2 linked regions of the Tribolium castaneum genome follow. The protein of the gene in region 1 binds, or shares a complex with, the protein of each later gene. Links are inferred from orthologs where the notes say so. Each region holds a gene or a part of one and is shown on either strand. Other genes may lie near its edges. The genes, in order: ribosome biogenesis regulatory protein homolog and Non3.

The links.
Region 2: ribosome biogenesis regulatory protein homolog (region 1) and Non3 share a complex: the UniProt entries of both Homo sapiens proteins name them as parts of the hexameric 5S RNP precursor complex. The link is inferred for Tribolium castaneum from reciprocal best matches to the Homo sapiens genes RRS1 and RPF2.

The regions. Positions count from the first base shown.
Region 1 is NC_087399.1:2,010,262-2,014,650, reverse strand, and holds ribosome biogenesis regulatory protein homolog, read right to left. Parts: upstream 3,054-4,389; 5' UTR 2,828-3,053; coding exon 2,685-2,827; intron 2,639-2,684; coding exon 2,149-2,638; intron 1,136-2,148; coding exon 879-1,135; intron 825-878; coding exon 698-824; 3' UTR 683-697; downstream 1-682. Other genes in the region: uncharacterized protein LOC103314109, read left to right, coding at 285-448, 496-660; tubulin monoglutamylase TTLL4, read right to left, coding at 3,461-3,567, 4,063-4,114, 4,195-4,389. UniProt on the Homo sapiens protein: Involved in ribosomal large subunit assembly. May regulate the localization of the 5S RNP/5S ribonucleoprotein particle to the nucleolus.
Region 2 is NC_087400.1:407,620-412,098, forward strand, and holds Non3 (ribosome production factor 2 homolog), read right to left. Parts: upstream 3,077-4,479; 5' UTR 2,945-3,076; coding exon 2,922-2,944; intron 2,867-2,921; coding exon 2,235-2,866; intron 489-2,234; coding exon 190-488; 3' UTR 56-189; downstream 1-55. Other genes in the region: organic cation transporter protein-like, read left to right, coding at 3,474-3,528. UniProt on the Homo sapiens protein: Involved in ribosomal large subunit assembly. May regulate the localization of the 5S RNP/5S ribonucleoprotein particle to the nucleolus.

The sequences.
Region 1 (4,389 bases):
TCCGACTACGCCGTCGTGCTCGAAAAATACGCGTTCTAGTCGTAAAATGACGTGATGAACGTAGGGCAACAGTTAAAATGCTCTAACGAGTAGTGGAAATAAAAATCAATTTTTTTCCGAAGATTTTATTAGATTCTCAAATACACCCCGATTCCGTAACAGTAAAACCTCTACTGTTAGGAACCTTATCCAGCGCACAAAACCACAATTCTCGCCCACTTCGATGGGCCAAAACGTGTTTGGTTATATACAAAAGTCACTCTAGATTATATACACACTTCCAGACAAAGAAATTTGTAAGAAATGGATTTTGAAGTTGCGTCAATTGAAAGCAACCGATACAACAGTGAAGAAAAACCGAAACAGTTTCTTCAAGTACTTCCTCCAAGTCCTCCACAAGGCAGTCCAAGGTGAAGATTATCTCGGCCCTTCTCCACTCGACACTAAAGTAACAAATCGTCTTAACTGAAACAAAAAACTGATTTGTAATTTAAGGCTGACGAGAGCCGAGGCCGCGATTTCATGTGCCGCTGGTCGAGCGATAAGCGGACTTACGTGGCGGCTAAGCCCCTCCCAGGCGAGGGCACTCTGGTCTACATGGCCGTGTCGAAAGACCCGAGTCTTGGATGGGAAAAACAGGGAGAAACAATCTATGTTTAAACTCACCTCTAAGTAAAAATATACAATTGGAACAAAACTAGCGCCGCTTCCGGCCCCCGGCGGCTTTGCCCTTTCGGGGCCGGTTCGTGTTTTTCGGCTTCTTGCCGCCTCCAGACTTTCGCAGGCCTTTCTTGCGCCCAGTTCGGTTTTTCTCATCAGATCTCCTGGGAAAAAAAATATATGAATTTTTTGGACCACCGACTGAGTAAAACACTCACTGCGCTTGTTCGTCGTTTATTTGTCGGGCTACCGCTTTTTCAATATTTATCTTCGGTCGTTTGTTCAAAACCTCGTCTACGAGATTTAGGTTTTGGTTTTTCTCGTTTTGACCCGAAATTGGAGGTAATTTTCGTTTTCTCGTCGCTCCGGGAGTGATAGCAGCGACGCCTCTCGCCTCCTTCTCCTTGGGGAGCTTGTCTTGGAATTTTCCCAGACTTGCGGTTGACGATTTAGCCACTGTTACCGCCGCTTGCAACTAAAAATCAAACATTTTGATTTCGAAAACAAAAAGTTAATACTTTTTATGTTAAAGGTTTTAACAAAATTCCAAATTTTTTATTCGTATTTAACAAATAAAAACTAAATTGTTACTATAGACAGCTCACAATCAAAGGCAGATAACATTACATCCGGAATTCCCACAAGGCTCAATTTTGGGACCATTTCTATTTTTAATATACAGCTCAGAAATATCAGAATTCGTAAATTATGTAATTATTCAGATCATATGCAGGCATCCATTTAAATATTATAAAAACTATTCATCAAAACTTAATGAAATTTGGTATATGTTCGAAATTATGTAAATTCTATCGTCTCAGATGTGTATCAAAGTTCTGTCGTCATTTGTTCTGGGGAAACAAGGCTAACTTGATTTTTTTAATGCCAATATTATATTATTCTATTATTTTTTTGTTGTTTCTTTTGTTTGTTTTTTTCCATAAAAGTTTAATTTTTGGTTTTATACAAGTGAAAAATCGCTCATAACAGTATTTTAAAAGCTAGCTTAGTTTTACTTTTCCGGAAATCCAGAATTAAATTTTTGAATTTTTATTTTTTTTACCTTTTTAAGGTTCAGAAAAAAATTTGACAAAAACTCCGCCAATCTTTTTTGATGCTTTCCAACTTTAACTATGGCCTTATTATTTGTCACTCATGTTTAGATCTATAGTTTTTTCCAAAATTGTTTTTGCTTTTTGTTATTTTCTTCTTGCTTTATTTGCTATTATTTTTTTAGAGCAATTTTTGTCAATTTAATTTATTCATTTATTCATTTACTTCTTCGTTTCTTAAGGGAATTAAGTTCAATTTCGCCTCCCGAGTTGTATTTACGGTTCGAATAAAGACGGCTTATTGTTATATCATTATTATTAAAAAAGAAGCAACTACTTTAAACGTTTAATAAAACAACACAAATTCACGTATTTTTCAACTTGGTGCAACACTTAAATTTCCGGCCGTACACACGATAAAAATACAAAAACTCACGTCTTTTGCGGACGAAACCTCAGGGTTGGTGAGCCCGAACCTGGGCACTTTCACATTTTTCGCTTTGGCGACGTTGCGCAGCCTTTGCAGTTCATTCTTGGCGACTTTTTCGCTCTTAGCCTCGACTTTCTTGGCGAACTGGTCTTCCAAAGGGTCCGCATTTTGTGGCACTTCAATCAGCCAGTCCTTCTCCTTGAGGGCGGCGCTCCGTTTGAAACCATACAGCGGGATCCACTTTTGCAGCTGCTCGTCCCAAGACAACTTACTCTTCTTTTTCTTGACTATGCCCTTGGCTTTGGCGAACTGCTCCCACTTGGTCAGCGGCCTGGGCCTCGGCACGGGCTTGAAGCGCGGTAAACAAAACTTCTGCTTGGGCAACTTCGCGACAATTGCTTCGTCTATCCGCTCCGTGGGCAACTCCCAGATTTGGTTAAACAGCAACTGGGTGTTATCCCGAGTCAAATTCAGTAAATAATCGTTGGTGGAGCTCCTAAAATTGGGTCAGAAAAGCGTGCTCAGCGGACCCCAAAACTCACCTCAACGCGCCGGGATCGAGCGGGTTCAGGTCTTCGGCCAGCAAGGCGCCTAAATCGATGCTCACCAACTTGTTAACTTCCACTGATTTGTATTTCTCGGCCTCTTTGGCCGATTTTTCCAAAATTGTTTTAACAACATCCATGTTGTTAAAACCTGTCTGGGGATTCTAACCTCACTTGCGACAAAACGGTTACACGTGGAGCGAAAATCCCCAGATTCGGCTGGCGAACTGACACCTGTCGCTGACAAATGTCAACCAATTTCAAAATATTTTGCCAAAATCTGGGCGTTTCTTTGTAAAAATGTGATCGTGGTGGTGCTGAGTCATGCCACTCGCCGAACCTTTGCTTTTTCTGCTCAAGCTGGGCTACACCCTGCGTCTCAAGGTGCCCCTCTTTATCCTGTTTCTGTGCTTTTTGCTGGATATAAGGATGCAACTCAACGTCACAGTCCAGAGGATTGAGATCCCGAGGAACGCGGTCCCGGACCCAGACGAAGACATTTAATGTAAAAGAAATATTTTATTCATCAGACTCAATACACTAATAAAAATCAATTAAAAAACACTTTGCTGTAAATGCAAATGTAAATGGAATATCTCGCTACAATAATTTAACAAGGAATTAAAACAACGTACAAATTTGGCAGTTTAAATGCTGGTGTTTGTCCTCATTCGTAACAAAAGAAACACACTTCTAGAATTCCATCTGAAACCGCCACTTGATTAGAACGGGAAAAACCGCAACAAACAACTCACTTATACAGTTAATTACAGCTAGAGCTTTCGATTGTGACCTCTTGCAGGATTTCTGCAAGAGGCCGACTCTGGCCTTCCCTCGACGGCTGCAGACTCGCACACCCATGGCTCGTACTCAGCGAATTCTGGGGAATTACAAGCTGTCAGATTGGCCCAACCAACTGTGGGACCCTAACTAAGTCGTGCAACTATTTGCCCAACTGGGCATTTATTTATAAAACGTAATAAATGTTTAATTGCTTTCAATAAATGCCCAGTTTCTTCTAAAATCCCAACTACACAGACATACAGACGGCCGACTCCTTAGAAAAAAATATCCACTTTCCCACACCTGTCCACCGTTCTCCAATTTTTTCAAAAGGGCACACGTTTCGACACAAGAATTAAAATTCGCGCCATCTGGACGGAAATTAACTCAACCGAGCTTTTTAAGTTGGCCATCTGTGACTAGAAACCCCTAACACGAAATTAGTACTCCTATGTCCTACCTATTAGTAATTTTAATCTATTACGTGTCTATCTGCTATGACTAAAATCCTGCGGGAATTAGAACTAGACGATAGAAAAAAATTCATATGCCATTAGTGTAGACACACAAACAACACCACGTCCCGACTTACTGCGACATTGTGAACAAACGCTTTGCAGTGTTGCCAGTACGAAATGTCTCGCCTTGGTAGGTAGTACCACCCAAACAAAAAAAATTGAAACAAAAACTCAACCCCCACACTTAACTAACGCAATGAAATTACCTTGTGTAGCGTACTCTGCGGCGCCACTTTTAAGTGCACTTTTTCGGCGCATAACGCCTTCAATAAGTTAATCCCTTCCTGCCTGTTCCTCTCAAATCGGCACTCCCACGCATCAAACAGCCGATTATAATACCGAACTTCCATGAAATTCAAATACTTGTGCGTCTGCGAGGTGGGGAAAATCCTCTCGAAACG
Region 2 (4,479 bases), on another chromosome or scaffold:
TGGAAACCCAAAATCACTAGACTGTGTTCTAGGGGATTTTCGCTACAACGCACAATTTTTCCCTTTTTTTTTTATAAAAAAAGTTTATTGAAATAGTCATTAAATAAAAAATACACGTAAAACTAGCCTTAGAACTAGACAATTTAACCATTTATACACAATAATCATCAACAAGATTGCACCGACGCGTTATCCAAGCTTTTGCTTTTTGACTTTATTATTTACATTGTTATTGTCAGTTGTTCTCTTTGCTGCTCGTTTGAGTTTCTTTTCGTCGGTGGTTTTTTTCAAGCCCTTCATTTTGCGGGTTTGGATTTTGTTGATTTCTTGTTTACCGACGTGGATGCGTCCGTGGGTTGTGCCCAAGCCGTCAACACTAATGTTCTTCTTTTTGCTCACTTTGAGTTCTTTAGGTTTGCGCAAGGCTTCTTTCATTAGGTCTTCGCTGGGGAGTTTGCTTCGGCGAAGGCTGAGGTCTATTCTGGGACCTGCAAAAAATATTTGATAATTTCTAAAATTCAAAAAAAAAGAAAACACTCAAAAAATTTATAAAGAAAAAAAATCGTCAAGTTTATTTCTTTATATTTCTTTCAATATGTTCACTTGGAGATTTTGCCAGAAAAAAATACGATGTTTAATGTTTATTAGGGAGATTATTTATTGTACAATTACAAATAAAAAAATTGTAAAATTGTCATTTTTTTGGTGCAAAACTGTATGTATTAAATTTAACTGTATTATTAAATCAAAATAAAAACTTTAACCACAGCTTTGACGAGAATTGAGGTTTTTTGGCTCAACAAAATTAGAAAATTCAATATATTTTTTTAATATGTGTTTAAAATAATAAGATATACAAAAAAAATTGACCGATACTGAGATGTGACTGATTGTGAATTTTTTTATCTGAAAACGTTCAAAGCTTAAATAAAATATTTCTAGCAATCCTAAAAAATCTCGTAAAAAACGACGTACAAATAAAACGTCCCCGTCCTCGATAGTTCGATTAATGCCGCCAGAGGCGCAGTTGTTCTATTACCGTCTGTTTTCAGAGCAATAAATTTATAAAAATTGTAATTAAATAACGGTTAGCACAAGGCAAATAAAAAATACAGGCAGATAGAGAATCAAATTCTTAATAATATGAGATAAAAATAGTGAAAAAATTATATCTTAAACTATATTTTAAAAAATTTCAAAGTTTTACCGATTTGCACTCTGCCCCATATTTTTCAAAACGCTGCGAATACGGTTACAGATACAAGAAAAATGTTCAGAGGAAAGTTGTAGAGAATTAAATTTCCTTTAAAAAAGTCCCCAAGACCATATCTCTATCTCCAACCATTTAGGCCCCAAAGTCATTCAAAGGCGCTCAAGTGTCGGATTTCCGTCATTTTGCCGATGGTCAAGTATTGGAAAATTTATTTATAACTAAACCGTTGGAGATAGACATATCGTGTCGCGGACTTTTTTGTAGAAAATTTAATTCTCTACAACATCGTGTCTTTCAATTTTTTGCATCTTCAACCGTATTCGCTGCGTTTGCAAAAAAAACGCAATAATTCTAAGCGATAATTTTTTGGACACCGTCGCCTATTTATCAAAACGCTGCGAATACGGTTGAAGATACAAAAAATTGTAAAAAACGACGTTGTAGAGAATTAAATTTGCTACAAAAAAGTCCGCGACACCATATTTTTATCTTCAACGGTTTGGGTATAAATCCACTTCCCAAAACTTAACCACCGAAAAATTTAAGGAAATCTGTCGCTTGAGTGTCTTTAGGGCCTAAACCGTTGAAGATAAAGATACGGTCTCGCTGACTTTTTTAAAGCAAATTTAATTCTCTACAACTTTCTTCTGAACATTTTTCTTGTATCTTTAACCGTATTCGCAGCGTTTTGAAAAATACGAGTCGAAGTGCAAATTTTTAATTTTAAATAATTTTTTTCTCATGTTTCTCATGAAAATTTTAGTCGTCAGTTTTTCTCAGTGTGTTGAGAATGCAAAGCTCAACATTTCTGTATTTTTTTCCAAGTAATTAGTCAACTGGTTGAATTTAAATTAATTTAAAACGATTTGACACACGATTTGAGGCGCCCTCATTTTTCCACTGCCGTACTACATCTTTGGGTGCGATTTTTTATCTCGTTTCGTCTCCTAACTTATAGTCCTTCGTAGTTTTGTAATTGTTTAGAAAAACAAGCAACTTGACTTATTTTCACGAAGCTCACCCATTTCTTCAAGTTCCACCCGCGGCACCCGACACCCCGACTTCTTCATCATAACTTTGTACGACCTAATCAAAATCTTCCCTTCTGGCGTAGCAGTAAAGCTAATAGTGTGCTCCAACCCTTGCAACCTGACTGAATTAACCTCCTCCCTGTGAAACATATCAATGAACAAACTCTTGAGATGTTTCAACACTTCAGTCTCTTCCCACGCCGGCCCGTTGAACACGAGACAGGGCTTCGTCCCGAGCGCTATTTTCGAGCAGGCAAAGTCTTTCATGAACTCAGCAGCCTCCACATGCAGCTCCACCATATCCAGCAGACTATAATTAAACATCCTACCAATGACTAGATTGTCCGGCCTTTTTTTACTATGTGAACTCATAACGAACAGAGACGACTCATATTTCTTACAGAACGCCTCCACAGGAGTGGCATTTTCAAAAATCGTTATATCATTTTTCTTGTTGAGCATTTGCGCCTCCGGCTTCTTCAAATCGTACAGATCTTTCGCCAAACGGCGCAGTTTCTCCGACGAGCGCCTGCCCTGGAAAAAGAGCGCCTTCTTGGGGCCCTCAACCACTTGCGGCTCTTTCTTCAGGAGCACCTTTTTGCCTTTACGTGTGGTCGCCTTACTGCAAATTGGGGCCCGCGTGAGCGGAAATCGGGGCAAAGGGGGCTTCTACTTACACCACACGCTGGATTACAACCATTTTCACTAGTTTTTGCGCTTATTTTCACGGTTTTTTCAGTGTAAACTTGTCCACACGTGTTGGAATGAAAACTAACCCTGCTCCAACCGTACCAACCTCACGGGGCAAAACCAACGTTTTTGACGAATTTTGCAACAAAACGGCCAAATATTCACATGAAACTGCGCCAAACGATAGAAACCAAACCGGAAAATAAAGCGGATTTAATTCGGTTTTAAAGTGGGGCCTAAAACGCTATTTATTTTAAAATTTGCAACCGCGAAGTTTAGGTTGGTGTGTCTGGGGTTAAAGGCGCCAAAGTTTAATCGTTAAAAACTTAAGCCGTTCCGTAAATAATTACAGTTTTTTGCAACTGGTTTTATCTTTAGCCTCAGATTTATTACCTAATTAAGGGATTTTTGAAAAATAAATAACTGTACCTAACAAAGAATTGTTTTAAAATCCATTACTAATGGCTATTTAAAATAGATAAACGTGCTGTGACATTGAGTTTAATAAAACTTGGCAATTTTGGATCTTTTGTGTTACAATGGACGAGAGCAAAGAGTTAGAAAATACACAGGAAATTGATCAATTTATTGAAGGTAATAAAAAAATCACTCATAAATATGTTTAACGTAACATTTTTTACCAAAAACTTTAGAGTTTTGTTTCTGAAATCGTCCGTAAAATAGTACTTTTCAGTAATCGTCAATTGTCATTGAAATCTCAGAAATGTTTCATCAAATGTGAACATGCGTAATGTTGATTGCCTAACGTTTCAAAAAACCAAAAAAAAATTAATTAAATTCAAGCAGTGCACTAATTACTTGGAAAAAAATGCAGAAATGTTAAGCTTTGCATTCTCAACAGACTTAGAAAAACTGACGACTAAAATTTTCATGAGAAATATGAGAAAAAAATTATTTTGAATTTAAAATTTGTGCTTCGTCCCGTATTTTTCAAAACGCTGCGAATACGGTTAAAGATACAAGAAAAATGTTCAAAAGAAAGTTGTAGAGAATTAAATTTCCATTAAAAAAGTCAGCAAGACAATATCTTTATCTTTAACGGTTTAGGTTTTGAAGACGTTCAAAGATGCTCAAGCGACGGATTTCCGCCATTTTGTCGGTGGTCAAGTATGGGAAAGTGAATTTATACCCAAACCGTTGAAGACAGAAATATGGTGTCGCGGACTTTTTTGTAGCAAATTTAATTCTCTACAACGTCGTACCTTTAATTTTTTTGTATCTTGAACCGTATTCGCAGCGTTTTGATAAATAAGCGACGGTGCCCAAAAAAATTATCGCTTAGAATTAGTGCGTTCTTTTTGCAAACGCAGCGAATACGGTTGAAGATACAAAAAAATGAAAGGCGCGAGGTTGTAGAGAATTAAATTTTCTACAAAAAAGTCCGCGACACCATATTTCTATCTTCAACGGTTTGGCTATAAATTAATTTTCCAATACTTGACCACCGGCAAAATGGAGGAAATCCATCGCTTGAGCGTCTTTGAATGGCTTTGGGGCCTAAATGGTTAAAGATAGAGATATGGT